7 linked regions of the Rattus norvegicus genome follow. The protein of the gene in region 4 interacts with the protein of the main gene of each other region in a biochemical or structural test. Links are inferred from orthologs where the notes say so. Each region holds a gene or a part of one and is shown on either strand. Other genes may lie near its edges. The genes, in order: Rara, Thra, Vdr, Med1, Esr1, Esr2 and Hnf4a.

Region 1 (3,948 bases), about 740 kb from region 4:
TGCTATCCTCCCTCTGTGTCCTACACTGTCAGGAAGTGTAGGCTGGGTGGAGGGCAGGCAGGGGCCAGGCTGAAGCGGGTGTCGTAGCTGAGGCCCTTACTCTCCCTGCCTCCCCCAGAACAACAGCTCAGAACAACGTGTCTCTCTGGACATTGACCTCTGGGACAAGTTCAGTGAACTCTCCACCAAGTGTATCATTAAGACTGTGGAGTTCGCCAAGCAGCTTCCCGGCTTCACCACCCTCACCATTGCCGACCAGATTACCCTTCTCAAGGCTGCCTGCCTGGACATCCTGGTGAGAGTCCGCCCCTGTTCTTCAACCCCGGGTCCCTGCCCCTGTAGGGTCTGTTCCCAGCCAGGCAGTCACTTTCTGATGCTTTCCCGGAGTCCACTGTGGGCTCCTGTCCACCTAGCTGTATCACGGGAAGGTGGCCATTCCTGGGAGCAGGAAGTAGAGGGGCCTGCTGCTGGGACACAGTGCTGGAGCGTTTGGTAGCCTGAGTTGTGGATGCCGGATGTAGTAAGAATTGTCCGAGTGAAGGCTAAGAGTAGGACTCCCGGTAATGTCTTCCAGACACATCGTAGGTAGAGAACTAGAGGCACGGACAGGTCTGCTGGGAAGGGGAGGGTGTCATGTGCCCGGTCCCCAGTGCACAGATGTGGGAGGCGCCATTGGCACAAAGTGTTGAAGCTGAATGGGATGGTCCTAGGAACAGATCTGCCTTGTTTCTTGCTGGCTGGAAACTCCTTTCCCTCCTGATTTCTCTATACGAAGGCAGCATGGCCTAGATCTGCTGGCCAGAGCAATCTCCTGGATACGCATGCGCGTCTATTTAAATTTAATTACAATCAGACTCAGTTCAGTCTCCCGGTTGCATTAGCCACATCTCGAGTGTTCAGCAGCCACATGGGGCCGGTGGCTACCGTCTCGGATGCTGCAGACAGAACCTTTCCATCACTGGAGAAAATTCTTGTCAGACAGCCATGCTCTCTGGCTGCTTGCCAGGGAGAGAGAGGCCTCCGGGGGATGCTGGAGCTGGTGTGCCAGGGGCTGGGGCAGGACTTGGGGGCGCTCCAGCCTCTGAACCCGTATACATCCTCTGCACCCAGATTCTGCGAATCTGCACGCGGTACACACCTGAGCAAGACACAATGACCTTCTCAGATGGACTGACCCTGAACCGGACTCAGATGCACAACGCTGGCTTTGGCCCCCTCACCGACTTGGTCTTTGCCTTCGCCAACCAGCTGCTGCCCCTGGAGATGGACGATGCTGAGACCGGACTGCTCAGTGCCATCTGCCTCATCTGTGGAGGTGGGTGAGGCGCAGGTGGCTCTCAGGAGGCGTCACCCTGCTGTAGTGATGATGGTGGCAGGGGAGACCTGCTGGGAATCCCCTGCTTTCTGTGAGGGGAGCCGCCCGCATTGGGGCAGGGGTTTCCATATCCACCAACACAGCTGCTACGGAGAGCTTTGAGAAGCCCACACCCCACTCTTGTTTTAGAGTATAAAGTATATCTCTTGCCTACGAGCCCAGAGACCCTTCCTGGCCAGGTGTGTGGGAGCAGCCTTCTGCCCTCTGTGGCTTGGGCACACCGCCCCCAAGTGGCCATATCTGGGAATGCAACTGTATTCCTGGTCGGTGGAGTTGGCTGGGGCTGGGACTGGGGCTGGGGCTCTTGCTCAGGGACAGTTTTGTGCTCAGACCGACAGGACCTGGAGCAGCCAGACAAGGTGGACATGCTGCAGGAGCCGCTGTTGGAAGCACTGAAAGTCTATGTCCGGAAACGGAGGCCCAGCCGACCCCACATGTTCCCCAAGATGCTGATGAAGATCACGGACCTTCGGAGTATCAGCGCCAAGGGTGAGTCTCCTGGTGGCCTTCACCTAGGGCAGTGGTTTCTAGCATGGGTGGGGGGGTCACGAACCCTCGGGGGTTACATGACTCACAGCGAGTCTCATGTCAGACATTCACATGAGGGCTCATAACAGTAACAGATTTGAAGTAGCAATGGAATGATTTTATGGTTGGGGTCGCCGCCGCCGGAGGAACTTGTGTATTAAAAGGGTTGCAGCATTAGGAAGGCTGAGAACTATGGACCTAGAGGGAGGCCCACCCAGGACTGGCCTGGGACCTGCTGTCCACAGTCAAGCTGGTCCCTCATGTCTTGGTGTCTACACGGTGTCTTCCTAATCGGCATGTCCCCATCTGTCTTAAGCCGTGGCTCTCTAGTTGTCACTTTTCCACTTTAAGACAAGCCTCTATAATAAGCTGTGTGGGTGTAGTCTGTGGAAAGGGCGTTTGCCAGCTCTGAGCCTGTTTCCTGTGTGTGTGTGTGTCGGTGGGGGGATGATAATGTTTGGAAGCGTCTGCTGGATAACCCTTGACACGGGGCATTGGGGCCAAACCTAAACAAGAAGCCTGAATTCACAATGTTTCACCCAGTCTCCACACTGGGGGCTCAGGAGAGCTGGCCTATGTCAAGTAACTGAGCCCCCAGGTGCAATGTGCGGTAGATGCCCACGTGGGTGGTACTGGTCCCCTCGCCCCGTGACCCTCCCCTTCTGGTCTGGCTCTCTGACCTCCCCCTCCTCCCCCACAGGAGCTGAACGGGTGATCACATTGAAGATGGAGATCCCTGGTTCCATGCCACCACTTATCCAGGAAATGTTGGAGAACTCTGAGGGCTTGGACACTCTAAGCGGACAGTCGGGGGGCGGAACACGAGATGGGGGTGGCCTGGCCCCTCCTCCGGGTAGCTGTAGCCCCAGCCTCAGTCCCAGCTCCCACAGAAGCAGCCCAGCCACTCAATCCCCATGACCACCTCGACACATGGACAGCCCTCACCCCTGCCCTGGCTTTCTCTGCCTTCCTACTGGCCATGTGACCTATCAGCCCAGCCCTGCTTGTCCTTCCGGACAGAACTGGGGACCTTCCAGGGGGGACAGGAGGGAGAAGGCAGTGACTCTGTGGACAGAGGCCTGGACCCTGAGATGGACTGCTCTCTCCTGGCAGCCTGGGCTGGCATCAGGGGCCAGGCATTGAGCCACGTGAGGACCTGGGCCTGAGCCCTCACCCAGCTTGCCATGTCTTCATCACCAGCAAACACCAGGGCCTGGCTCCCTGTCCTCCGAACTCAAGCCATCACCCCCCAGTTGGGGAACTTCCCCCTGCTTCGGATGGTGACAGAAGATGCCCAGGGTGGGGGAGACCCCCTGTACATATCCTGCGTACCAACCCCCAGATATTAATTCTCGATGGTTTTGTTTTTATTTTAATTTTTTTTGTTTTGTTTTTTTTTAATAAGAATTTTCATTTTAAGCACATTTATACTGAAGGAATTTGTGCTGTGTATTGGGGGAGCTGGATCTAGAGCTGAAGGGGGTGGGCCCTGGGGATGGGCAGGGCTCAGAAGGGCTCCCCTCTCCCCTGATGTCCGAGCGGATGCTCCCACCTCCAGTCTTTTCTCCTCAGTTTTCTCTAATACTGTGAAAAACTAACTTTCCAAGGCCACCTTCCCTACCCTGTGCAGGAAAGCAGCTCCCTCCTCCCTTTGCCTAGCCACTGGGTGTGGGCATCTTGGGCAGCTACCCCTGGGAGGAGGAGATCCTGGCTTTTGGCTTGTCTCCTTACTCACCAAGAAGCAGGGTAAGGGTGAAGCTAGGGCCCCTGGGATGAGTAGGCTGTTACTCCTCACTGCCCGTCAGAGCTCACTTCATCCAAGCCCCAGCCCCACTGTGAAGGGGCCGGCTAAGGGGTCCAAGTTTACCCCAGCCCCCAGCCTCATAGCCACCAGCACCCCATGGGGCCCTCCAACACACATGCGCATGTACTCATGCGTGGACACACACACACACACAAACACACACATACACACACACACCTCTGGCCTGAGTTCCTCCAATTCCCCCCAGCCTACCCCTAACCCCTCAGCCCCCTCCTTGCCC
Region 2 (4,650 bases), about 510 kb from region 4:
GTCTAAACAGCTGTACCCTCAGAACCAAGCATGAAGCTGTGCAAAGAAGACACAGCTGTCGGGACATCTCTGAGGTGGGTCTCAGAAGCTAGGGATGTGAAGAAAGGCCCCGAGTTCTAATTCAGACCCCGCCTGGGTCCAGTCAGGGGAGGAGCCTCCTCGCTGGCTCCTTAAAGAGCTGTGGCTTGAACCTAAGGTCCTCTCACTGAATTGACCAAGGTTGGCTGGATGGGCCTGCCAGCTTGAGGGGTCAACACATGCAGTAGCCTATTCCCCTTCCCTCCCCATTCCCAGCCCCCAAAATTTGCTGGCCAGCCACAGCTGTGGCGTTGAGGAAGCGCAGGATGTCCTGAACAGCCAGCTGAGCACGCCCCCCCCCCAACCTCCTACTGACCCCAGAGGAAGGCTGGGCGGGCCAGAGGGCCTGAATCTGAGTATTAACAACTGGAAAAGTATGAAGAATGTTGTTGCCAGCTTGGAGAAAAGAGGCCGTGGCAGAAACAGAGAGGAGCACAGGGCAAGACAGAACGTTACAAACTGGCGGAGGAACAGCAGGAGTCAGACACCCCAAGACAGCAACAGAGAGAGAGAGACGGAGTTAGAGAGAAATTCCAAGTCAAAAATACACCTCACTCACTCAGCCACTCGCCAGCTTACGGCCTCCTAAGGAAAGCTTCCAAGTTTGGACAGGAGGGCCAGAGGTGAGAAAAGGGGCGGATTCGCAGTGGGAGGCTAGCACTCAGCTGGGGACAACTAAGGGTCCCCAGGAAAGGCCCAGCCAAATGACCCCAAGCAGAGGCAGCTAGGTCCACACTGGCTTACAGGCTAGGGATGAGAGGGCCAGAGAGCCACTCCCAACTCTTCCCCAGACACCCCTCCCCCAGCAACCAGGACAAACCCAGCTGCTAGAAGTCACTGGACACTGCTGCAGGCCTATGACTCGGCCCTCTGGAACCCCCTTGCACCCACTTTGCTCTTGTTTCCCCTGTCCCTCTAAAGAGGGGGCGGAGGGGGGGAGCCCATTGCTACACAGTGCCAGAGCCTAAAAGATAGAAAGAAGCCAAAGAGAAAAGTCTGTGATTATGTGCATTTAAGCGCCTTCCCGCCCCCAGCTACAATGTGTCAACCTGCAGGGTTATCTGGACACTGCCAGGTGGGACCTGTGACTTCAGTCGGAGCCCTGTGCATGGCCCCTGCACCTGTGAGACTAGGTGTAAAAAAGTGCACCTGTGCCTAGAGTTCCCACAGTCAATCAATTAACAAGTGTTTACAGAGCACATACTGTGCTAGGCTCTGGGTGGGATCCAGGCTCTTCTAGAGATTCTCCCATGTCTTAAGGAGCCTGCCATCTAGTAACTGGTATGGCCAGTGACAGAAATGAAACTATTTTATCAGGAATGCATGCTTTGCACCATTTTTGCAGAAAAGTCTTTTAACACAGATGAAGGTGATTTCCTCCGTAGCAGGGATTTTATTGTCTACAGAACCTCAGCTCCACAGATGAATCCAGGAAAATACTTGTTGCTAAATTGTGTACAAATGTATTGATGTGTAGCCTCAGGTTTGTTTGTTTGTTTGTTTGCCTGAGTGACAGTGACTGTCATGGCAAGCAATGATGGCTGCTGCACGACTGGGCACATGTGCACATGTGTGTGCTTCTGAATGATAAAGTCTTTTATGGTCGTGGGGCTGTGTGCAAATTGCCATGTGTGCATGCATGCATGCATTCGATAGTGACTTTCTCGGTGTGGGTGACAGCGACTCCTCCTTACCCCGGTGTGTGACAGCAGCTCCCTGTGAACCTGTGCGTGGGTATGTGCATAGGCTGTCTCTCCGCTCTGCTCTTGGTCTCCCGTGGGTGTGTCCCACCCCAGGAGCTCCACTATGCAGTGGCGGCCTGCCTCTTCCCTTGTCCCCATGTGGGTGTGTCCAGCAGCTCCTGTCCTTGAATCTGCCTGGGTGTCCCCGAGTGTGCATGTGGCTGTCTGTGTAGGCATATCTGTGTCTGCATGTCACCTTTGCCTCCCCCTTCATCTTGGACAATGGCCCCCTTCATCCCCTCCCCCTCTTGGGTCCAGAGCCAGCATTCTGGGGCAGGCTCCCATCTCCCTGGCTTTCCTTCTGTGTGCTCCCCCTCCAGTCCCTAAAATGGGTGGCTCTCTCCATTGCCTCTGACATCTTCCCAGGCCTTCTTTTCACACTGGACAAGGGAGGGCCCAAGACAGAAAAGGGGCATCAGAGACACGTTGCAAAGGGAGGGAAACAGGGGAAACATGCACAGGCGCGCGTGCCCGCGTGTACACACACACACACACACACACACACACACACACACACACACACACACACACCACGGGTCCATTTCTTCCTCTCTTCCCCAACCACAGGCCAGCAATTCTAATCATCCAGGGACCATCAAGTACACCCCCACTACTACACGCTCACACTCCACCCCCCCCGACTCCACCCCACCCGCCGCGTTTTTGCAATTAGGAGTGTTGCAACCAGAAAGCCATGCTCAACTGGAGAGGTGGGGAGGGGAGGGGGGCTTCTCTCTCCCCCAGCCCATGCAAGCCCCCCCACCCTGCCGCACCCACATTGCCCTCCGTAGCTAGAGGCAGCTTTGCAAAGGCTATTCGGTCTCTTTGGCTGGGGGCTTGGTGGGGGTGGGGGGTACACGACAGGCTTCTGGCACACCGTAAACAAACCGCGGCGCGGCGCGGCGGGCGGGGGAGCTTCGGCAGGCAGCGGGGCCCATCCCGGGAATGCGCAGCAGACCGGCCGGACAGAGGCCGGGGCGGGCCCTCGAAGGGGAGGCCCAGACGCCATCTCCGCGGGCGAACCCCAGGGCCCACCGACCACTTAACAGCACCTTCCTTCCCCAGGGCGTAAGTGACTAGCTCTCGGGCTGTGACAGGGTCACCCGGGCGCCGGGAAAGGCTGAGGTCGGCGGCGGGAACCCCCTGGGCGCCCCCAGCCCGCCTCCGAGCTGGCCAGAGACCCGCGGCTTTGCATAATCAATCGCGATGCATTTGCATATTAATGCCCCCTCGCTCCCTCCTCCTTACCTCGGCTTGGCGCGCTGGACCGAGCTGAGCAAGGACGCGGGGGTCTCAGCGCCCCGTGCCGGGGGCGTCCATGGGGGGCCGGTGGGGCCCGGGCCGCCCGCCTCCAGCGCCGGGGTGTGAGTGCGAGTGAGCGCGGGGGGGCGGGGGGCGAGTGTGGCGGCCCCGCGGCTCCTCCGGCAGAGGCGGCGGCCGCTCTGGCTCCTCCCTCCCCCGCCCCGCTCCGGCTGGGGCTCCAGCTCCGCGCGTTCGGCCGGCTCGCGGCTGCTCCCTGCAGGCCGCCTAGAAGCCGCCGGTCCCCGCCCCTCGCCCCCCGCCGCTCCCGGGACCCTGGCCTACCGCCCCGCAGCACATCTACCTCCTTGGCCCCTACCAGGCTCAGACTCACCCACCTCATCCCCCCTGCGGCTCTGTCCAGGAGCGACGCTCGGTGAAACGTTTTGAGAAAGATGTCATTTTCAGATATAATAGCTTTCACTCGCGGGGAGAATTGGGGGGGTTTCTGGTTTGTTCCCTGGGGTAAGGGGAGAAGGATGGAGGAGATCTCTACACCTTATAAATCCGGGAGGAAGTCCAGATACCAAATGCTAAGGGTAGTTTGTTTCAGAGTTCGGGTCCCTTCTTTCGGAGCAACTCCCCTGTGTGACCTTGAACGAATTACAGCTTTCAGGGTAAGAGCTCAAAATCCAAGAGTTGCACAGATTACTTCTGAAATCCTCCTAACTTCAACCATCCTATTTTCCAGCCCTTTTGGAGGGTGGTTCCATATTGTGCCTCCTCTCTCGTCTTTTAACATTAATGCTGGATCCACTGCCTCCTCTTGCAAACGTCTCTGTTCTCCATAGAAGCTCTTCTATTCACTGCCCACCATCCTTTCCCCAACAATATACTCCTATGCCAAGCTTGGGGAATGGGGGCGGACAAGACTGGCTAGGACAAGACAGCCCCTTATCTCCCAGCTTCACTGAGGTGATATTTCCTCTCCCGTTTGTACCATCAAAAACCAAATGGTTCAAGAGCCAACCTAAGGAGCGGAGTGACTGCAGAAAGGTGGACTCGTTTTCTCAAAGGAGAGGTCTCCATGCCAGTTCCGGACCCTTGCGCGCGCACGCGCACGCACGTGCGAGACACACACACACACACACACACACACACACACACACACACACACACACCTGCATTCATGGACATAAAATCCTGCCAGTGACGCCAGAGCCCCTTTCATCTCGGGATCTACTACCGCCAGGCAGAGGTCTAATTACCCTAGCACCCCCCTCTGGCCCCGCCGGTTCCCCCGCTGTCATTAGCCCAGTTTTACCAGCGGGGGCCATAGCCTTCCCACGGCTCCCAGGGCGGAGCCCTGCCTCCACAGCCTGCTCTTGGGGAGGAGCCAGAGAGTGTGTCAGGGGAGCTGCTCTTCTAACCGTTCATACTGGATAGAATCGTTTGCTGAGTGGGATGCTGACCAACAGTCTATCCAAGTCGGGCTGTCCTTGCTCATCCTAGTCTCAGCCACCTACACCCTGAGCCAACGGAGTCACTTCTCGTACAAGAGGTTTTAAGGGTTTGCAAGGGATGAGGAGAA
Region 3 (3,137 bases), on a different chromosome or scaffold from region 4:
TAAAGATAAGAACCTAGCCCATCACCTGGCCATTTCGTAGGCCTACATTGACTTTTTGGGTGGTAGAATGAGAGTCAGGAGGAACCGGCCCCAGATCACTGTACCACAAGCTCTGACCATCCCTCCACCTTTCCCCTGAGGGGGGAGCATTTGTATCTGGCCTTACATCTGGAAAGGAGGCTCGGAGGCCCATTTGGGCAGCTGTTGGTCTTCTCCCATCCCATTCTATTGGGCGGACAAGGTAGCTCTCATTGGTGTGTGTGTGTGTGGGGGGCACTGCTGCCAAGATGACTCCCGGGATACTCCTGGTGGTCAAATTGGGAGGTCGTGTGAGGCCAGAGGACCTGCTTTCTTGGGTAGGTGGTAAAACACTGGCGGGGTAAGGGATGGAGACAGGGCTATGGATTTCCTGAAAGTTGGGGACAACTTGGTCCTGACACATCTAATAGCTATAGAGGAGAGGTCCCAACAGCTCCAGGCTTCAGAACCCTCAGCTTGATGACCAAGATAGATGGACCTTCATTCATTGTTCTGCTGGGAGGCTGACTTTCTCTGTTCTTCATTACTTGGGCCCTGTATTCTATCTCCTGGGGCCTTTCCAATGGTGGTTTCTAGGTCCCTGGTTCTGGGCATGGGGAAGAAGCCCCCTGTACCACAGGTACTGGCCCTGGGGAATTCCCATGGCAAAACCTCAAAGGTGGGAACTGCAGGGCTGGGTGAGTGCTCCTTGGTTCGTGTGGTAGTGTATTTGGTCATCTTGGCAGTGAGTGAGCCCCGTGAGTATAAAGGCAGAGGAAGGAGGCCCCTCAGTGACCTACTCCCCCGGGTCAGAATAACACAGACAGGCGGCAGGATGAGACGGGACACAGTAGGGATGATGGGTAGGTTGTGTACCCTTCGCAGGCAGGGGCCAGATTTCTCACCAGGCTTTGGGCAGGTAGGGCTGGAGTGAGGGGAGGTGCAGGTACCTGTCCCTGAGGAGTGAATGCGTCTCTTCTGCCTGCCTCCCTTGACACAAGCAGCAGCCCCTTGTGGTGGAGGCATCCCCTAGGCAGAGTTCTGCCTTCAGCCCCTGCCCTCTATCCCCAATTGAGTTCCTTTGTCAGATAAACAGCAGCCTCTCCTAACTGAGGTCTCAAGAGACAGGAGCAACTCGAGGTCTACAGGAAAGGGAGACCAGGTGTTAGGCTGGGCAGGAGAAAGGATGAGGCAGACAGACAGAGGCCATGGCAGAGGAAGGACTGAACTCCAGAAAGGGCAGGAGGCACTGCTGGGCTGCAACCAGCCCAGGGCCTGGGCACAGGGCTCTGGAGGAGCGGCCCTACCCAGGCACCACTGTGGGCCACCCTGGTCAGGAGATCTCATTGCCGAACACCTCCAGCACAAGGGGTGTGAGCTTCATGCTATTCTCGGGCTGGAAGGAGAGGGAGCGGTATTGTTTGGAGTGTTCCTCGTTGAGGCTCCGCAGGTCGGCCAGTTTCTGGATCATCTTGGCATAGAGCTGGTGGCTGCCTGGGGGCGGGTGGCGGCAGCGGATGTAGGTCTGCAGCGTGTTGGATAGGCGGTCCTGAATGGCTTCCACCAGCTTGGCGTCCTGGACCCCAGGTCGGTCTGTGTCCCAGGGGATGGAGGGAGACAGGATGTTCACTGTTCAGTTTCACAGAATCCACCATCACCCAGGTACCCCATGCCAGCATCCCCCTGATGACATCCCCTGCATTTGGGACCAAATCCTTTCGCGGGCTCATTTGGTCCTGTTCCCACCTCACCCTACTTCTTCTGTCTCTAGGTTCAGTCCTTGCTTTGGAACTCAGGTACTTCCTACTCTGGCTAACAGACCTCCCCGTTGCCTGGAAATCAGCTCTCGTCTTTCCCCCCTGACCAACCGGTTATCACGGAACAGGCGCAAAGCGCTTTCTGAAGAAGGTCGTTCCTGGTAACCCTCCATCTCCACGCCCCCGTGACCTATACCAGGATCTCTCCGGCAGCATCTTCATATTCAACATTCTCGTAATATTTTGTTTTCCTTTAACTCTCATGGGAGAGAAGTCTATCCTTTTTACTGCAACTCCCTGTGCCTAGCCCAGTGTCTGGCCATAGTAGATGCTCAGTTAATCATTACTGAGCGTGTGAATAAGTGAACACACGTCAGCTAGACAGCAGGAGGGAGGCATATGTCTGTCCTTTGGGCCTTCAGACTAGGCATTCCTGGCCATAGGCCACTAGTTTGTCCCCTGTGCACACATGGTCCAGGCTGAGTCAGGGCTCTGTTCTTTGGGTTTTATCACCAATTTCTTCAAGATCACAACAACTTCCTTCTCAGTGTCTCCTCCCTTTGGGTTACAGCCTCCAGCCTCCAAAGTCAACTCAGGCAGAAGCATATATTAGTCCCCAAGGATTTGTGCCTGCATCGGAGGAACTCAGGAGACTGGAAAGTTCATCCGAGGTCACGCAAGAACAGAGCCTGAGTATTAGGAACACCCAAGTCCCATGAATAAGCTGTGGAACCCTGCTCATCTGGTTCCTCAGAATCCTATGAATCACCTTGGCCTGCATAAGACAAAGCCACATGTGTCAAGCGACCCCTCCACAGGCCTTCTGGGCTGTGCAAACCCAGCAAAGTGAACATTTCCTTGTCACTTCTCTCGTTCATTCCTCCCCCAGACTTCCCTGCTGGCTCTGAGAAGCTCTCTGTCATTCACAGTCCCCAACGTGTCCCAGGTCCCTCAGCTCCTCCCTGCCAGGCTCCGTACCCGGGGAGACAATGCAGATGGCCATGAGAAGGACATGCTCTTCCTCATGTAAGTTCAGCTTCTTCAGCCCCACCTGGAACTTTATGAGGGGCTCGATCAGCTCCAGGGTGTGCCCAGCTGTGAAAGAGAGCAGCCAGGGTCAGGTAGAGACATTCACCCCTACCTGAAACCCCCCCTGGGCATTACCCCTTCCCTCCTCTCTCTTGCTGCCCACTCCCCTTCCCCGTATCTGGTCAAACCCCCAGAGGTCCAGTGCCAGGATAGAGGTAGAGTCTGGGAGCTGGAGGAAGTATAGGAGGACGCCCTCCACACCTTTGGAGACATCGGTGACGTCGTACTTGTAGTCCTGGCTGCCACAGTCCCAGGACATATCATCCATGGTGA
Region 4 (4,786 bases):
TACATATATATATACATGCTAGCAAACCACCCACATATGTAAAACAAATATTTAAAATGCTACTAGAAACCACACCAGACTGTGTTTGTTATCTGCGTATGTGTAAGCACGGGTGTGAACTGGCCATAGCACCTGTGGAGGTCAGAAGGTTTACTGCAGCCTGTTCTCACCTTTCCCTATGAGTACGTGGAACCTTCCAGGCCTAGATGCATTTTGTTGTTTTGTTTGGTGTTAGACGGGGTCTAAAAAGGGTGGCTTTGAACAAATAGATCCACCTGCCTCTGCCTCTTAAGTATGGCATCAAAGTACTGTTTGACAATGCCTAACGCATCCTTTAAGAGCACTAGCTACTCTTTCAGAGGATCTGGGTTCAAGTCCCATCACCCACATGGCAGCTCACGGCCACATGTAAATCCAGTCCCAGGGAATCTGCTGTCCTCTTCTGGACTCTGAGGGCACCAGGTATATACTTGGTACACAGAAATACAGGAAGACAAAACCACTACACACATGAAACCCATATTCTTTAAAGAAAAAAAGATTTATGTTGTGTGTGTTTGGTTTTTTGTTTGTTTTTTGACTCATGCATGTATAACACGTCTGTGCAGGGAGGCTAGAAGGCACCAAGACTCCTGAAACTAAAGCTACAAATGGTTGTGAGCTGCCCTGTGGGCATGTGCTTCCTGGGAGCCAAATCTAAACCCATGCCAAAAACTCCCCAGCTCTGTCTCCAGCCCCTCCCTGCTTTTCCTTCATTTCAGACATTCTCTCGCCACCCCGCTGACCCCCAAGTCCATCTAGCTGAGCATGACCTTGGAGGCTGACAAGGTGGCTCCCTGAGTAGAGGCATCCCATGCCAAACATGAGAGCCTGGGTTCACGCCCCAGAGCCCACAGTAGCTACAGTAGACCACCTCCAAATACAGAAATATAAGGGGTGGCCTCCACATGCTTGTCCCTCTACCCGGGCTTGCATTACAGCCCAGACTCTCCTCAGTCATCTCTTGTCTCCTTTTCTTTAGCCTCCTATGGCTGTATGCCACTATAAACAGACGCCTTTTTTTTTTAAGACTTTTTATTATGTATACAGCATTCTACCTACATGTATGCCTGCAGGCCAGAAGAGGGCACTAGATATCATTATAAATGGTTGTGAGCCACCATGTGGTTGCTGGGATTTGAACTCAGGACCTCTGGAAGAACAGACAGTGTTCTTAACCACTGAGCCATCTCTCCAGCCCCCAGACGCCTTCTTTTTTATTTATTTTGGGGGGTTGGGGTTAAGACAGAGCTTCTCTGACTGTCCTGTCTCTTTGTAGACCTGCCTGGCTTCAAACTGAGGGATCCCCCTGCCTCTGCCTACTAAGTACTAGGATTAAAGGCATGAATCATCACCACTTGGGGACCAAATTCAGGCCTGTTTTCATGTATGCACAGGAAGCATTTTACCAACTGACTGGCAGCCTTTTTTTTTTTTTTTTTTTCTGGACAAGGTCTTACTTAGCCTAAATGAGCCTGAACTTGCTGAGAAGGAAAGGGCAGTCGGGAAGTCCTGCCCCTCCTGCCTCTACCTTCTCAGTGGTGAGACTACAGGTATGCAATGCCCAGCTTCTGTTCAAACTATCCACTGAAGCAAACAAAAAACTTGTAATTGCATACATAGGGATGCAATACCTTGAAGGATATATTTTGAGCACAATTTGAGCTAGGCATTTCTATAATTAGTTTTTAGTATGAAAACAATGACATCATTCATTTTTGTTGCTTTCTCCTTTTTTCCTTTTCTTTTGGTGCTGGGGATTGAACCTGTGGGCAAACGACCTTGCTCTAATATCTGCAGCCTCTAAATTATTTTTAAATTAACAAACAAAGCAATGGGTATCATTTTGGCATTCTTATAGATGTAAGATGTTACACTGGGTCTGAGTCTTCTTCCTCTGACAGCCACCCCTGCCCCAACCTCAAAACAGTCAAGGCTTCCATTTAGTTCAAACTCCATTTACCTTTCTATCCTGAAGATCTCCTTCTTTCTCACATGGTCCCATATTTTGACAACCAGTACACCACGCCAACACATACTTAAATTGAGATTCCGCATAAGAGAAAATGTGGTATTAGCTAAATACAGCTTATTTTGAGTATCGTCCACTTTCCTAAAAATGTCGAGACTTCATTTTGGATAAGCCAGTCTATCTGAGTTAAGGTTAGGAGGGGGATAGTTAAACCAAGATTTAAACTCTTAGCTGGCTATGATGGTATGTTAAGCTGGCACTTGGGAGGCTGATGCAGGAAGACCTTGTCTTGAAAGAAAACAAAAAAGACTCAATCCCTTCCCTTTTCTTCCTTCAACTGGGAAAGTGGTTTGGGTTTTGTTCCTGCTAGTTCATAGTTCTGAATACATTTCCCCCGAGCTTTAAAGCCATTATTCAGGAACAATTGAAAGAGTAGTTTTTAAAAACACAGCACAGTATTTGAACACTATGACATTCCAAGAAACTACTAGCTTTTATTATAATAAAGACCGCACCATGTCACTCACACCAAAACATCCTCCATCACTTTGACACATTGTTCTAGTGTCATCTTCAGCGATCTCTCCTGGAACAAAGCATCAAGTTTCAGTTTCACTCTCCTGGTAACCCACCAGGCTAAGCTGAAAGTAACCTGAAGCTCATCTACTTGTCCCTAGTCTTGCAGAAAATCTTTCACAAGGGGAGGCGAGGCGGAGCGGAGCCTCAGTGTAGGAGCTCCAACATCCGTAAAGCTCGGTCAGGATCCACCTGGATCCAGTTCCGTGCACAGTGGCCCTGGGGGGACGGGGGGGGCGTGGGTCCCCACCTCCGCTCACAGATTGGCTCCCCACAGTTGTGTCCCGCCCCTTCTTCCCCCCCACCCCCTAGTCACTCACCCTCGGTTTCCCCCTGAGCCTTCATCCTGACAGCGGTGAGGTCTTGGGTCCGCCACAAGCCAGGGAGCCTTTCCCCACCACTAAGAGGGGAACCAAGTTAGCCTGGACTCCGGGGAAGCAGCGCACCAGCGGCCCCCACTCTTCCGGGGAAGGTTCAGTCTGAAGTCCCCGGCGGCAAGAAGAGAAGGGTGCTCGCGGCCGCCGCCATCTTCCCCAACGGAACTTCCCAAAGATCGCGAGATTAATCGTGTTCCTGCAGGCAGAGGAAGAAGGAACAGCACCAAAATCTCGCGGAAATTGGCTGATTCGCCCTTCCCGCGGGATTTCCAACAGGACTGTCTCCGATTGGCTCAGTCTTCACACCTTTCCGTGGAAAGAGTTGACATCTCTTAGAAACTTTGCATCTTGTCAGATACACGTTTGTAAATTAGAAGCGTTAGCTCTTTGGCGCAGCGTTGGTGGCGCAAGCCTTTTATCTCAGTAGGCAGTGGATCTCTGAGTTCGAGGCCAGCCTGATCTACAGAGTGAGCTCCAGGACAGCCACTGCTACAAAGAGAAACTCTGTATCAAAAACAAACAGGGGTTGGGAATTTAGCTCAGTGGTAGAGCACTTGCCTAGCAAGCGCAAGGCCCTGGGTTCGGTCCCCAGCTCCGGAAAAAAAAAAGAAAAAAAATTTAAAAAAAAAAAAACCAACAAACAAACAAAACACAAAGTACAACAGAAAAAGTTAGCTCTTTGAACGCCTGGAGAAGTAGCACATTCCTATAATCCCAAAAAGGAAGGAGGATCGCAAATTCATAGCCACTTCAAGCTCCATAGTGAAAACCAGTCGTTACGAAATAATCTCTCTACTGAAAGATTTCCAATGAATTTTAGTATCCGTAATGCCAAAGGCAGTCAGGTTTGCCTGGCTGTGGTGCGTGCCTTTATTCCCAGCGCTCCGAAGGCAGAGGCAGGTGGCTGTCTGTGAGTATGAGGCCAACCTGGTCTACAGAGTTTTTGGACAGCCAGGACTGCACAGAGAAACCCTGCCTCGGGGCTAAAAGTAAGATTTGTGATATGACAAGACGTGCAACTCACTAGTAGCACACATGCTTCATGTGCCTGAAGTCCTGGGTTTAATTCCTAGAGAAAGTGGGAAGGTGAAATTTCCTGAAGAACAAGCAGCAGTTATGTTGTTTAAGAGAAAGAAAGAAAAGGGAGGGAGGGAAGAAGGGACGGAAGAAGGAAGGGACTGGGGTAATTCCTATGGCTGCTTGCTTTGCATGCAGAAACTCTGGTGTTGATTCCCAGCACAACATAAACCAAGCTTGGTGGGCTTATCCCAGTGTGATGTTTGCTCAGCCCAGGGAGTGGCATTAAGAAGTATGGCCTTCCATCCAAGTACTAACCAGGCCCGACCCTGCTTAGCTTCCGAGATCAGACGAGATCGGGCGCGTTCAGGGGGATTTAGCTCAGTGGTAGAGCGCTTGCCTAGCAAGCGCAAGGCCCTGGGTTCGGTCCCCAGCTCCGAAAAAAAGAAAGAAAAAAAAAAAAAAAAAAAGAAGTATGGCCTTAGGGTTTGGGGATTTAGCTGGGGGGTGGGGGGTGGGGGGTGGGGGGGGTGGCATGGCCTTGTTGGAGTGGAGTAGGTGTGGAGATGGACTTAAATACCCTCAACCTAGCCCTATGGAAGAGAGTATTCTGATAGCAGCCTTCAGATGGAGATATAGACCTCTCAGCTCTGTCTGCCTGGATGCTGCCATGCTCACACTTGGATAATAATGAACCTCTGAACCTGTAAGCCAGCCCCAGTTAACTGTTGTCCTTATAAGAGTTGCCTTGGTGGGCTGGAGAGATGGCTTAGTGGTTAAGAGGACTGACCGCAGGGGTTGGGGT
Region 5 (4,618 bases), on a different chromosome or scaffold from region 4:
ACATCTCACAAGGAGGTTGACACCGCAAGGAAGACATGACACTTTGTCTAACATCCCATCACCACCCGCAGCTCACATGCAAGCTTCATCACACGGCTGGAGGCTGTCTACACACACACACACACACACACACACACACACACACACACACACCCTAGAAAGTCATGCATGAAGTTTTGCTAACCAGAACCCTAACTAGGCTAACCTAGGCTGATGTAGAAGAAGACTATTGAAATGTTGCTAGAGAGACAGAAATCACAGCTATCATAACTATCTTTAGCAAAAGTTACCTGTAAAGTGCTTACCTTTAAAAAGAGCATCAGGGGGTTCAGTGAGATGGCTCAGGGGTAAAGTACTTGCTGAGCAAGCCTGGTGTCCTGAGTTCAATCCCCAGAGCCCATGAGAAGATGGCAGAGAAGTGACTCCACAAAATGTCCTCTGACCTCCACATGTTCACTGTGGAACACACATGCCCCTACACACATATACCTCATGCACACACACACACACACACACACACACACACACACACACACTTTGTTAGGCTCTTTGCAGGAACCTCATAGGTGGTATCACTTTCTCAGTAAACAACAGCCAGTCAACCCAGGCAGAGGTGGATGGACAGGATCACACCTCCTACATGTTTTAGCAGAACAGAGGCATGGTGGTCTCTCTTGTCTGTTTTTCTCTACAGCCTCCCTGTACCCATGGAACAAACTTCAGCTCAACTGTGGCCTCATCTCAAGCACACATTCTGACCAAGTGGACCAAAAGTACAGAGACAGGCAGAGATAACCACCTGTGTTAGCACACACAGCAGGCATCTGGTGGGATGTCTACGGGCTTAGGAGTTTGTATGTCTGAGGACGACGAGAAGCAAGTGGTTCTAAGTCCTAAACTGAGTGAAAGGCTGAAGGAAAGCAAGTTGTCTTATTCTCTTCCTTTACTGTCGTGGGCAACCAAACTGAACAACAACCTTCACGTGTCAAAACAGCACCTCCCACTCATGAATATAACCCTGGCATTCACACTCAATATTTTGCCAATTTTCCTGGTTGCCTTGTCTCTCATCTCTATGTCAGTGTTACTTCTAATTTCTATGACAAAAATCCACCAGTCGCTACAAGACTGGATCCAACCTCTATAGCATTACAGCTGTACAGGGCCTAGAATGGGCCTTCAGGGGCTATTGACAAAATGTGGGCAAACATTTGCCGCCTTTTTTTTTTTGAGAAACAGGAAAGAATTTTAATGAATATAAATAGGTTTCTGATCCCTGAGATGACAGAGGTTCCCACCCTACTGACTTTGTTAAAAAAAAAAAAAGTTCAAATACTTTAAATTGGTACTCCAACATCCGTCCTCTCTGCATACATTATTGTTTCAAATTCAAAACCAAATACATTTCCCATAAACCTTGTGGGTGGAGGTGCTCTGTAAATCTATTAGATTTGGCCCAAGAAGCTAATTTTAAAACATCTGGCACCCTTGAGTGGTACCGCATGTCACGATTGAACATCATCTTAATAAAACCCAACCCTTACATTAGGTTTAAAAAAATTAAAATAAATTTTAACCAGCTAGACTTTTTTGGGCAAGTCAGAGAGAACAAACACTGGCAACTTCTTGGTCAAGCATGAGACTTTCCACTACAGGAAACGGGTGGCTTTCCTGTGGCCAAAATGAAAGTATCCTTTTCTGCCTTTTGTAACTACCACGTCACCGACAAGTGGCACTCGCTCTGTGGCACCGTCCTTAACCCGCATACCACCTTGCCTCAAAAAAAAAAAAAAAAAAAAAAAAAGCAGTTTCCCATGGTTATTTTCAGGTTAGAGAGAACCAAACCCAAACCCACAGGGCTCAGAACTTGCCTACAATTGTAGGGCAACTTCAAGACAAGATGCATTACTAGATTGCGTAGCTTTTCAGAAAACTCGTTTGCCTATTCAGGAAAACAGATGATGGCTTTTTGCAGTCGCTTAGATCAAGCTCACATAAGCTCACGGCACCGAAGATTAAGAAACGAGGTCATGTTGAGACGAGTACAGAGGGAAGTCTGAGCAGGAACTTTTTTAAACTCGCGCACGTTTCAACCATACAGAATCCCCCATAGCTCGACCTGGGACCAATAAATACACGCGATCTGAGGCAGGCAGAGAGAGCCTGTCAGTGCTGCACTACGAACAGATAACTGTGTCTGACTCAGCTGAATGTAGCTCCCAGAGTGAATTTCCATGGGACCAAGGTCAGGTTTAACATGATAACGGTTGCCAGAAACTTTATAAAATATCCCTGGAGCAATGAGCGAGAGAAAAATGGGCATATTTTCACAGAAGTGAACTCTGAGACTCCATCCTGATTGCACACAGTAGCACATTATAGCCGAAAGGGGGGGAAATTGTAAAGAAATGGAGATAAATAGAAGTACCTGCTTTAGAAGAATGTCGCCCAGAGACTGCCTTCTTAGGCTAGACAATGGCAGAGGAGGGGGCATTGGCCTCTCCTGGCGTCACAGGGCTGCTGAGCATGGAGCCTTGTGTTTTCGGTTTTGGTAGAATCCGTTCGGAGGCTGTTATGACCATGAAATTAGGAAATGCAGACTCGGAAGCAAAGAGCTAGCACCACCACTTGACTGGGATTGGAAACTCTGCTCCGGATAATAGGGGAGGGGGTGGCTTTCCTCTCTCCAGCCAGGCCTGATTCCAACTTTCTCAGCGTTTGCCTACAGATAGATGTTTGCAGAGGGACAAGCTTCTGGTGAAGCTAGCTGAGACTTTTTTTTTTTTTTAAAGGTGATCCAACCCATTTTCTCTTTCCTTGCAATAAAGCTCAAAGTCTAGACGAGCATGTTGACTTGGAAAAATAAAATAAGAAAGCGTTCTTTCTGCACACAAATTTTCCTCACCCAAAATTAGCTAAGGGTAATAAGGGTGTTTCTAAGGTGAGCGCTTCTCAGAGTTTCTCTTTCACTCATTGACTCAAAGAGCTAAGCCAGTCGCTCAGCAATTCTTGTCACTGATTAATGGTGTTCCTGATTTTGGAAACTTGCACCAGCTTAGCCCGAGCTAACTCTGAAATCCTTCAGGTGTATGAGCCTTCTATAAACTGCTTGACATTTCCTGATGTGATTTACAAGTCCTGTTTGCTTTGGGGATTTAATCTTGCATTTTGTTTTGTTTTGTTCTGTTTTGTTTTGTTGAGACAAGGTCTCACTCTGCAGTTCAGAGCCTTAAACTCTCAGGATCCCTAAATGCTAAAATTACAGGCATTAGCCAATATGACTGACTTTTTAAAAACTTATTTTGTTTGTTTCTCTTTTCTTTTTTTTTTAAACTCAGAGACAAATTCTCTGAAGTAATAATCTGAGATTAAAAATATATTAAATTTATTTTCCTTTTTGGTACTAGGGATAGGCCCAAAACTTTGATGTGCTAACCAAACACATTACCTCTGATCCACAGACCCTTAATATTTTTAGACCTTTTGAAATTTTAATAGCTCATAAAATCTGTTGTGTTTTATGTAACATGTGCTTTAAATGCTGGGTTGTTGTTTTAATGTCTTGTTGTGGTTTTTTTCTCCTATTCTATAAGTCTGAGAAAGAATGCTTTTCTGGAAATAAGAATGGTAGCAGGCAAAAGACCAGAAGAGACCCCTCTGGTCACTGTCTCAATCCCTATGCATGAACACTGGTGCATGCTGGGTAAGAAAAGCATCTCAGAACTGGCTGGGAAAAGAAAAGACTCCAAATGTCTCATGACTGATGATCTACACATTCATTATAATAAATTGTCGTAGTTGTCTTCGGTTTTCTATACCCTAGTGAGTTTGGCCTCAAAATAATTCAAATACACAAATGTGTCTGAATTTAATTCCCCCAGACCTCACAGAGTGGGATGCGTTTTACTTCTTGTCTGAAATGTTTTATTTCAAATTAAAGAACATTAAACTTAATAAGACTCATTTATAGAAGGAATAATCTTATAGCCTCAGCATGGCAAAGATGGCCCTGGCTTTATTGTTTTTATTATGATTTCCTGTGAGAGGTAAGTGAGTCAACAAAATGTTTTGAATAGTTCAAACATTTTAAAAGCCAAGTGGTTTTTTTCCCTCTAAATTAATTGAATCCCTCTGTTATTTGATTTGCCAGGTTGGATGAATCATGCTTTCAAATAGCATTTAGCTACCTGTTAGAATCAGTTGTACACATCAATCCAGAGAAGAAAATTACCTAAGGCAGGAGTTCTCTAAATAGAACATCCATCAGACTCAGAAGCAAGTGTCGAGTATTGCTTTGTTGTGGAGGGGATGCATATGAATAAGTGGACAGACACAGGGAAGCACACACCTCTGTCCATGATGCAGAGGCCAAAGCAAGACACTGGTGTGCTTCTCTGTTGCTCTCCACAGCGTTTCCTTGAGACAGGGAATGGGAAGCTGGCTGGGCTACTCGGCCAGTGAGCTCTTGGGATCCACCTATCACATGCGAGTACGCGTGCACACACACACACACACACACACACAGAGAGAGAGAGAAAGAGAGAGAGAGAGACAGAGAGACAGAGAGAGACAGAGACAGAGACAGAGACAGAGAGAAATGGAATGTGTAGGTTGGCCG
Region 6 (4,043 bases), on a different chromosome or scaffold from region 4:
TAACCTGGACGGTGGGCCTGTCCGACAGAGCACAAGCCCAAATGTGCTATGGCCAACTTCTGGGCACCTGTCTCCTTTAGCGACCCATTGCCAATCATCGCTCCTCTATGCAGAACCTCAAAAGAGTCCTTGGTGTGAAGCAAGATCACTAGAGCACACCTTACCTGTAAACAGGTAAGTCTTGTAAATCATGGGTGGTGGCATGCTCCTCTCTTTGCAGGTTAGTACGAAGGAAGACGTAAGTAAAGGTTTTTACTTGGCCACCTACATTCTTAGGATACTGGACACATGTTGCTCTGTCCTACTCTGATGTTCCAGTTCTCAAAAAGTTGTGCTTATGGATGAACACTATGAAGAGAGTTCACCATAATGGATAGTCTCTTTATGCAACATAAAACTTAACATCAGTTTGATTTGGGCAAAGGTGTTGGGTTTTAAATGTTTTGTTTATAACAATATTTCCCGTGTTAGAGGAGCCAGGAGCCAGAGGGCCCACCTCAGAGCTAGAGGCATGTTTAACATCCTTGGGACTCTGGGTCTAACCCGCAGCACCCCAAAACCTAGCATCTCTGAGCCCCAAACTGAACCAAAACAACCTTTAAGAAAATACACAATTATTTTTTCTTCGTAATCTTTTCATTTATTGGTAGGAGAAACAAATATAAAAACTGTGAGTCCTGTCTTAAGACGAGTGCTCTTAACTCACCCCTCTTTAAAGGGTGAAATGTCTTTTCATCATTTCTAGACTAGCAATAGATTTACTATCTCTCTCCCCAAAAGAAACAAATCCTGGTAAAATCAGCCCCTGGGCAGAGTGTGCAGCTGTCCCTGCTGCCTCTCTGCTGGGCTCTTCCCAGCCCAGCCCGGAGGTGCCTGCTTTATAGCCTTCCTTCTGAGGACTTGTCCTCACCAGGTGGGCTCTCACTCTTTTTTTTTTTTTTTTTTTCTTTTTTTCCGGAGCTGACCCAGGGCCTTGCGCTTCCTAGGCAAGCGCTCTACCACTGAGCTAAATCCCCAACACCCAGGTGGGCTCTCAAATGTCAATCACCCCCACGCTGGAGCTCCCAGCGATCTGATATCAGGTTTCCTGGAACATATTTATCCCTAGCCCTGGAAGGCAAAGAGATTAAATTTGGCAAAGCTCATGCTATTTTTTTCCTGTAAAGCCCCTCCCCTCTCCTTTGTATCCTCTGACAATGGCTATATTCTCTGCTCCCCCCCCCCCACCAGAGAGACACTGAAGAGGAAGCTTAGTGGGAGCAGTTGTGCCAGCCCTGTTACTAGTCCAAACGCAAAGAGGGATGCTCACTTCTGCGCCGTCTGCAGCGATTATGCATCTGGGTATCATTACGGCGTTTGGTCATGTGAAGGATGTAAGGCCTTTTTTAAAAGAAGCATTCAAGGTACGAGGGTATGATAATCATTTCTTTAGTAGTCACACCTTAGCTTGCAAGGAGTTTTGCACAGATGATCTGATGTAATGGTCATGTTGGCCTGGCTGCTATACTTCATGAGCTGGAATATTTGTGTGTGGGCATGGGTTGAGTGAGGGTATGTGGGTGCTTGGATTACATGTTTCTACCCCAGAACCTCAAGATTATAGAAGTCAGTTTGCCCCTACATTACCTAACTAGGTAAGGGGGATATTTAGAAAAGGAGAGAAGATATCTATTTACAACCTTGTAAAGATACTTCTAGGAAAAAAAATCGGTGCTTATCAGGAGCTCCAAAGCATGTCTGTCTGTCTGTCTGTTCGTTTTGTCCTATGTTTAATATAGGGCTATGCTTGTATCATGATGGTGGGCTGGCTCCTGAGGGGAAAAGAATAATTAAAATTTATGGAAATGATCAGGAATTAACTGTAGCAGACTTTGAGAAGTATGTCGTCCTTGGACTCACGGATTGCAATCTCCTAGTTTTGATCTGACATCAGACTGTCTCCTTGACCCTCCCAGGAGTCTTTGATGGTGGTTACTTACTTGGTGTGTACTTGTTCATGATGTGTTTGCTGTTAATTTGTGTGTGTTGGGGAGGGCATGAGTAGGCCACAGCATAGGTGTGGAAGATCGAAGGACGATGTGCTGAAGTCAGTTCTTTCTTTCCACTTTGTGGGTCTTGGGGCTCGAATTCAGGCCCTCATGTTGGCAACAAATGCCTTTACCCCAGAGCCTGTGTTGGTTTTTTTTACTCATATTTTTAATAAACTTCAACTGTGCACACCTGGCTTCAAGGCTAGCCAGCCTGATTGTCCTCGACACTTCTCCCTCGCCTGCGCCCCTCTACCTTACAAGCCCTGAAGTACTGAAGTCACTTATTTCTTTTAAAGGTATTTATTTTTGTGTGTGTGGAAGGGTACATGTATGTAAAGAAGTGCAGGTAGACATGTGTGCATGTGTGTGGAGAGGTGTGTGTGTGTAGGCACACGTGTGCACGTGTGTATGCATATGTGTGGAGGTCACAGATAGACATCTGGTATTTTCCTCTATTGCTTTCAATTTTTATTTTTAAAATATCATTTTATGGGCTGGACAGATGGCTCAGAGGTTAAGAGCACTGACTGCTCTTCCAGAAGACCTGAGTTCAATTCCCAGCAACCATATAGTGGCTCACAACCATCTGTCAAGGGATCCGATGCCCTCTTCTGGTGTGTCTGAGGACAGCTACAATGTACTCATATACTTAAAATAAATAACCAATTCTTTAAAAAAAAATTACTTTACTGTATGTGTTTAAGGGTTTAGCCCCATGTGTGTCTGTGTACCACATATGTGCCTGGTGCCCGGGGAGGCCAAAACAGACCATCAGATCACTTGAAACAGGAGTTCCAGATGGTTCTGAGCTGCCAGGTAGGTGCTGGGAATTGAACCAGAGTCCTTTGTAAGAGCAACAAGGGCCCTTAATCACTGAGGCATCTCTCCAGCACTCCCTGTCTTTATTTTCTGAACAGCATCTCTCACTTGGGGCCAGAGCTTGCCCTTTGGGCTGGACTGGCTGACAAGACAAGCTTTCAGAATCTTGCTGGCTCAACACTGGGATTGCAAGCATGGGCTTACCTAGGTGTTGGGACTCTGAATTCAAGTCCTCAGGCTTGCACCACGGCAGCTGAGTTACTGAGGTGTTTCCCTGACTCCAAAGTCACTGTCTTATGACCTTCCTTGGCATGTCTCTGTTCTGTCTCTCTGTCCTCTCCCCTAAGCTTCCTCTCAGGCAATCTCTGCTTCAAGCGGTCCTTTTCCGCTCAGTTCAAGTTCTCAACTCACTAACAGCACATGGGGTACCGGACTGAGAATGACAATTTAACTTGTCCATTGATAATTCTAGATAAATAGGACATTTTGCCTCAAGAGAGAAACACTGGTGACATCTGGAGTCTGGAGGCATGAGCCATCTCTCTGTGTGTCGCTGAAGTGTACCCTGTACGGATGGCCACCTGTTGGTACTGGCTTCTTCATTTATTAGCCTTACAGCTTTTCCTCCATCCTGTCTCTGCTTCTGTGCACTGGGGGTATTCGTGGAGTGGTAGTGGTGAAATATATTCATTAAGTATTTTTATTTATGATAACTGGAGCAGTAGATTATAGGCCCAGGTCTAGTTCCCCTCTGATCAGAGCAATTCAGATGTTCTGAAATTCAGATTTGAAAGGTTTTTGCTTGTTTGTTTCTTTTAGATGGGTTCACAATGTAGCCTAGAACTCTGCACAGCCCAAGCTAGTCTTAAACTAACAAAAATTATTTACTGGGGCTGGAGAGGCGGCTCGATGAATAGTACTAGCTGCTTTCCCAGAGGACCCAAGTCCAATTTCTAGCACCACACAGGAATACATGTAGTTGTAACACCAATATGTATTTTAAAAAGGATTCATTATTATAGGGGTGTGTGTGTGTGTGTGTGTGTGTGTGTGTGTGTGTGTATGCGTGCGCACGTGCTGTGTGCATATGGTCAATGCCATGGTCTGAGTATAGACACCAGAGGCAAGCTCTGGTCCCCAGGTCTGCATGGCTGTAAGTTTTGTGGGCTGAGCCAGCTTGTTGGCTCCACCTTA
Region 7 (4,677 bases), on a different chromosome or scaffold from region 4:
CCGGAGAGGGCTGTGGTATGCTGAAGCAGAGACTCTGAGGTTTCATAGCGTTGGATCTAATTCCCAATTGGTCTCATGGTACTGGGCTATTTCTTGTCATTGCCCCCCTCCACCTGTCAGACAGAGCATGGTCAGCTCTCGGAGCTGTCCACAGTCAGTGAGTCAGTCAGCTGGAAATGCTTGGCACACGGTAAGTTCTAGAACTGTCTGTGAAATTAAACTCTTCTCGGCAGCCGAGAACTCCCTCAGCAGGCGTCTTGTATCTGTTCCTCATTTCTGCTGTCTTCTCGCTGAACCGTTCCTAGGACTTCTGAGTGTTCAGAGCGGAGCCCCCTCCGGCTGGTGAATTATTCCCAAGGCAGGGATAATTGTTAAACTTCATTGGCTCTTTCTCCCTTGTCCTCTCCTCTCTTGACCCCCGGGGAGAGCTGAGCCCGCAACTTGGGCAGAGGACGGCAAGCTGTCCCCTTGATGGGCAGCACGGACTAGGTACAGCCAACTGGATCAACTCCCCCTGAGGTCAGCAGGTCACTTCCATTTCCCAGTTAGGAACACCGAGACTCGAAGAGAACAAGGGACTTGTCCAGTATCATTACACTGCTGCCAGTCAGAGGGGCTGGGCCTATGGGTTAATATACTGTGCTCTCTAGCCATGTTGCCCATGCCTGGAGATCTGTGGGGACCCTTCTGCTCTCTGTGAAGTGGGGATGGATTGTGGGAACAGATATCCTTAGCACTTCTAGCCATTAGCTCAGGATGGACCCCAATCCCTTTGGAGGACAGCCTCCTATAACCTCAACTCTCAGACCTCTGTGAACTCCAGAAGGGCATATGACCAACATATGCCGACATATGCCAAGTCCTGGAGACCACCCATGGAGGGATCAAGCAAGCACAAGGAAAGACCTTGTAAACCTTATATGCCGTTCAATCTATCCAAGTTTTACAGATGAAGAAACTGAGACTGGGGAGGAAGGGTTTTTCCAGAGCTGGGGGTGACTGATGTGTCCTCAGGACATTTAATCAAGGGCTCGGCCTCGGGTACAGGAACACAGAACTCTCAGACACTGAAGGGGCTGTGTGGTGGCCAGGAGTGTGACAAGTACTGTCCTCCCTGGGGGTGGGGGTTGGGGGTGTCACGTGCTACCACCTCGGGGCAGAAGCAACTTGTTCACCCTAAACACTTCTCTGAGTACCTCCTCTGAATCGCCCATGGCCAACAAGGCTGGGGTAAAGGAACCCATTTCCATACTGCATAAGAGGCGAAAGAGGTAACATACAGGAGGTCACACAGTACTAGGGGCAAGCGGCGGGGGTGGGGGATGGGGAGGACTGACCATGGACAGAGCCCACGCTGCCTCCTCCTTCTGGCTAGATCAAGAGTGCACAGTTTTCCAGACCTAAGCCTTGAAACCCAAAAGCTGTGTCGTGGAGTCATAGAAGGAAAGTGGTGGCAGGGCCAGCCTCAGCCAGGTGCCATCTCCCCAGTGCTAGCCCGGAACCTGGTCCCATCCCTTCCAGAAGCTTCTCATCCTCCAGAAGTGGCAAAGGAAACACCCTCCCCCCACCCAACCCCCACGGACATATTCTCGGTGATATTGGAACAGGTGCTTGAATGATGGTGACACAGGGACAACAGACACAGACACACATGCTGCTGCCGGGAATCCTAAGTTTTGGAATACAGTTACGGTTAAGACCCTCACAACATAACCATGGTGTTTTGGGAATCTGGGTCAGAGGACCTCAAGTTCCAGGCTAGACATGGGAGTATGTTCTAACTTTCAGGCCAGCTCAGGAATGCATACTCTCTGTATAAAAAACAAAAACAAAAACAAAAACGAAACAAACAGAACCAAGCTGGACCCGGTGGGTGCATGCCTTTAATCTTAGCACCTGGGAGGCAAAGGCAGGTGGAACTCTCAGTTTGAGGATAACCTGGTCTACGTAGTGAGTTTTAGGACAACTAGAGCTATGTAGAAACCCTATCTCAAAAATATATATATAACAAACAAACAAAAAGCCCTGTCCAATGGCGCTACACAATCCTGTACAACAGAGAGCGGTGCCCAGTAGCACAGGGGCTGTATGGACATGTGCTAAGAAAACATGCCATCCAGAGTCACCAGGCCAAAAGCACAGGGTATGCCCTCATTTACAAGCGTGTCCACTCTGTCACCCACATTTACAGATACTAGACATACATATATTCAAGCCAAACAAAAAAAAAAAAAAAAAAAAAAAACGAAATGAAACAAAAACCAAATGGTCCTGGAGACAGAACTACAGACCATTTGATACATACAAATGAAGCCGGGACACAAACTCGAAAAGGGGATCAGACACACAGCTGTATTCCGGCATTTGCCACGCCACATACAAGGACACCTAGGACCGACCATGTAAACACCACTGTATTGGCCTTTTAGCTGGGAAGTCTGAAAAGCCTACTTTTCTCCTGAAGTCCAGTTTCCCAAAGTCTGAAATGTAGACATGCCTCCTGTCACAATCTCTAGAGACAAGACAGACCTTTTGTTGCTTACACAGAAAAGGGCCCGGGGACCTGGAAGATAGGGCCATGTTGGATAGGATTGCGGTAGCCACCCAGAGGAAGCTCACGATCATGGCCCCATTTCCTGGTAAGCAGGGCAGCGTAAGACCCCGGGGCCTAGGTAGGGAGGATCTTGGGAAATTTTCTGTTGGAAATCCACCTCTGTAGGTCTCGGTCACCCAGAATATCTCTGGCCACAGTACAAAGGCCCACTTGCTTCACCTGACAACACCTGTACGAGTCTATAGGGCCAACCTACAGTTTTCTGTATCTCCCCTCCCATCCCAAAGTCCAGTGCCAAAGATCCGTTCCATACCTGGGCATGATTGCCCCCACCTACCATTGCCCATGGTCAACACCTGCACATTTTCAAACTCCAGGGTGGTGTAGGCTGGGTCCAAGGCAGCACTGTAGTCAGCCATGTCCATGTCGGCGAGGGTTTTAGAGAGTCGCATTCTCCTCTACCCACCCCTCAGCCCCCTGTCCTGCCCTGCCCAGGATGCTACCCAAGCCCCTGGGCTGAGCCCCAGCCCCTCCGTCCCCGCCCTCCTCCTGCCTCCTCCCAGGTCCCTTCTCTGCCTTCCTCTGTTTCAAACTGTCCTCTGGGAGATTCAGCCTGGCGTCCTGGCCTAGCCTCTGCAGAGGGTGGAGGCTCTGTGGGGAGGGGTGGGAGTTAATGGTTAATCACCCCCGTTGCCGGGTAGTCTGGGCGGAGTCACAGGGATTTGGCTGTTTGTTGGTTTCTGACTGACACCTGGGGTGCTAAATTACAACTGTTGGGCCCCCACTCATTAATATTCAGTTTCCAATCTTCCAAGACAGGCACCGAACAAGACTGGCACTTGTTGGACCATCGCTTCAGCAGCCCCCAAGTCCTACCAAGTTGGACATCCCAGCTGACGTTCTTGGACACTGAACAAGTCTACCACCATGAAACCCTAAACCAACCACTTCTCAAATCATTGACTTCCATCCTCAATTTGAGATAAAGCGGTCCTGGGTCGCTTGAATTAGAAACCTAATCCCCAAGCCCACACTTGGGTCTTTTGGATCCTTGCTGAGGAGAATTCTTCTGGTTCCCTTGTGGTTTGTCAGCTGTCTTTGAGAACCACTGGGACTCACCTTCAAGTCTCTTCCCTAGCCCCTGATAGCTCCTGGTTGCTCCAGCTGGACCAGACGTCATGGAGGGCTCTCTGTCACACCGAATGCTTCCACAGCACCTACCCCTCCCAGGATAGGCACAGACAAGATCTGCAGCCCTTGCCACCTGCTTATTGTGACTCTTTCCAAGCCTCAGTTTCCATCTCATAAAATGTACAGGGCCATCAGAAAGGGTAGTTTGGGTAATTCCTAAGATATAAAAATAACTGCCCAGGTGCACTGGCTAACCCCCAAACTCCAAGTCATCATTTTGTTCTGCGGTGTAGCCCAGGTTGGACTCAAATTCTTGACACTCCAGCCTTCCAAGATCTGGAATTACCAGGACTGTGCCACCATGCCTAATACCTGTTCTCATTTTGGGTCTCCACCTTCCCCTTTGCCTCCCTGTTTTTTTCTGTCCACCTCTTCCCTTTGGGGCAGGATTCTCTGCATGCCTTAACACTCATTCCACCCTTTTAAAGTTTGTTGGGTTTTTTAGATTAAAAATACACTATACGTAGGAGTTTTGCTTGCACGTATGTCTGTGCACCACATGCATGCCTGGATCTAGGGAGGCCAGAAGAGGGATTTGGATTCCCTGGAACTGGAATTACAGACAGTTGTGAACTGCCATATAAGTGCTGGGAATTAAACTCTGGTCCTCTGGAAGAGCAGCCAGTGTTCTTAACCACTGAGCCATCTTTACTTTTCTTTTAATGTTCATTTCATTGTCTACACCTTTTAAGGGGTTTAACCCTGGACCTGGAGCACCTGTCCTTTTGTGCAGTCCCTCTCTGTGTCCTTCTCTGCTGACACTTTTGAGATTCCCACTAGCTGAGGAGAGAGAGTCACAGATGGTCGAGTGTGAGGGCAGGATCTGAGAAAACTTCAGTGCCTGTCTTGCTCAGCTAGTCGAAAGATCAATTCAGAGGGCATGGTAACAACACAGAGCAATAATGAGAAACAGAGTCTGCCTTGGAGAGAGT

The links.
Region 1: the proteins of Med1 (region 4) and Rara are reported together in a solved structure, tested with the Homo sapiens proteins (2 studies listed by BioGRID, with this or other methods). The link is inferred for Rattus norvegicus from reciprocal best matches to the Homo sapiens genes MED1 and RARA.
Region 2: the proteins of Med1 (region 4) and Thra form a complex in vitro, tested with the Homo sapiens proteins (6 studies listed by BioGRID, with this or other methods). The link is inferred for Rattus norvegicus from reciprocal best matches to the Homo sapiens genes MED1 and THRA.
Region 3: the proteins of Med1 (region 4) and Vdr form a complex in vitro, tested with the Homo sapiens proteins (5 studies listed by BioGRID). The link is inferred for Rattus norvegicus from reciprocal best matches to the Homo sapiens genes MED1 and VDR.
Region 5: the proteins of Med1 (region 4) and Esr1 form a complex in vitro, tested with the Homo sapiens proteins (6 studies listed by BioGRID). The link is inferred for Rattus norvegicus from reciprocal best matches to the Homo sapiens genes MED1 and ESR1.
Region 6: the proteins of Med1 (region 4) and Esr2 form a complex in vitro, tested with the Homo sapiens proteins (2 studies listed by BioGRID). The link is inferred for Rattus norvegicus from reciprocal best matches to the Homo sapiens genes MED1 and ESR2.
Region 7: the proteins of Med1 (region 4) and Hnf4a form a complex in vitro, tested with the Homo sapiens proteins (2 studies listed by BioGRID). The link is inferred for Rattus norvegicus from reciprocal best matches to the Homo sapiens genes MED1 and HNF4A.

What each region holds. Positions count from the first base shown.
Region 1 is NC_086028.1:84,421,041-84,424,988, forward strand, and holds the end of Rara (retinoic acid receptor alpha), read left to right. Parts: intron 1-118; coding exon 119-295; intron 296-1,110; coding exon 1,111-1,315; intron 1,316-1,705; coding exon 1,706-1,864; intron 1,865-2,603; coding exon 2,604-2,821; 3' UTR 2,822-3,331; downstream 3,332-3,948. UniProt on the Homo sapiens protein: Receptor for retinoic acid. Retinoic acid receptors bind as heterodimers to their target response elements in response to their ligands, all-trans or 9-cis retinoic acid, and regulate gene expression in various biological processes.
Region 2 is NC_086028.1:84,196,691-84,201,340, reverse strand, and holds the start of Thra (thyroid hormone receptor alpha), read right to left. Parts: upstream 3,201-4,650; 5' UTR 3,069-3,200; intron 2,889-3,068; exon of another isoform or gene 2,734-2,888; intron 1-2,733.
Region 3 is NC_086025.1:130,866,395-130,869,531, forward strand, and holds the end of Vdr (vitamin D3 receptor), read right to left. Parts: coding exon 3,066-3,137; intron 2,871-3,065; coding exon 2,754-2,870; exon of another isoform or gene 1,790-2,753; intron 1,612-1,789; coding exon 1,352-1,611; 3' UTR 676-1,351; downstream 1-675.
Region 4 is NC_086028.1:83,682,414-83,687,199, forward strand, and holds the start of Med1 (mediator of RNA polymerase II transcription subunit 1), read right to left. Parts: upstream 3,133-4,786; 5' UTR 2,933-3,132; coding exon 2,908-2,932; intron 2,078-2,907; exon of another isoform or gene 2,003-2,077; intron 1-2,002. UniProt on the Homo sapiens protein: Component of the Mediator complex, a coactivator involved in the regulated transcription of nearly all RNA polymerase II-dependent genes.
Region 5 is NC_086019.1:43,509,954-43,514,571, reverse strand, and holds the start of Esr1 (estrogen receptor), read right to left. Parts: upstream 2,883-4,618; 5' UTR 2,429-2,882; intron 1-2,428.
Region 6 is NC_086024.1:100,630,951-100,634,993, reverse strand, and holds part of Esr2 (estrogen receptor beta), read left to right. Parts: coding exon 1-174; intron 175-1,230; coding exon 1,231-1,403; intron 1,404-4,043.
Region 7 is NC_086021.1:172,640,305-172,644,981, reverse strand, and holds the start of Hnf4a (hepatocyte nuclear factor 4-alpha), read right to left. Parts: upstream 3,147-4,677; 5' UTR 3,007-3,146; coding exon 2,892-3,006; intron 1-2,891. UniProt on the Homo sapiens protein: Transcriptional regulator which controls the expression of hepatic genes during the transition of endodermal cells to hepatic progenitor cells, facilitating the recruitment of RNA pol II to the promoters of target genes. Activates the transcription of CYP2C38.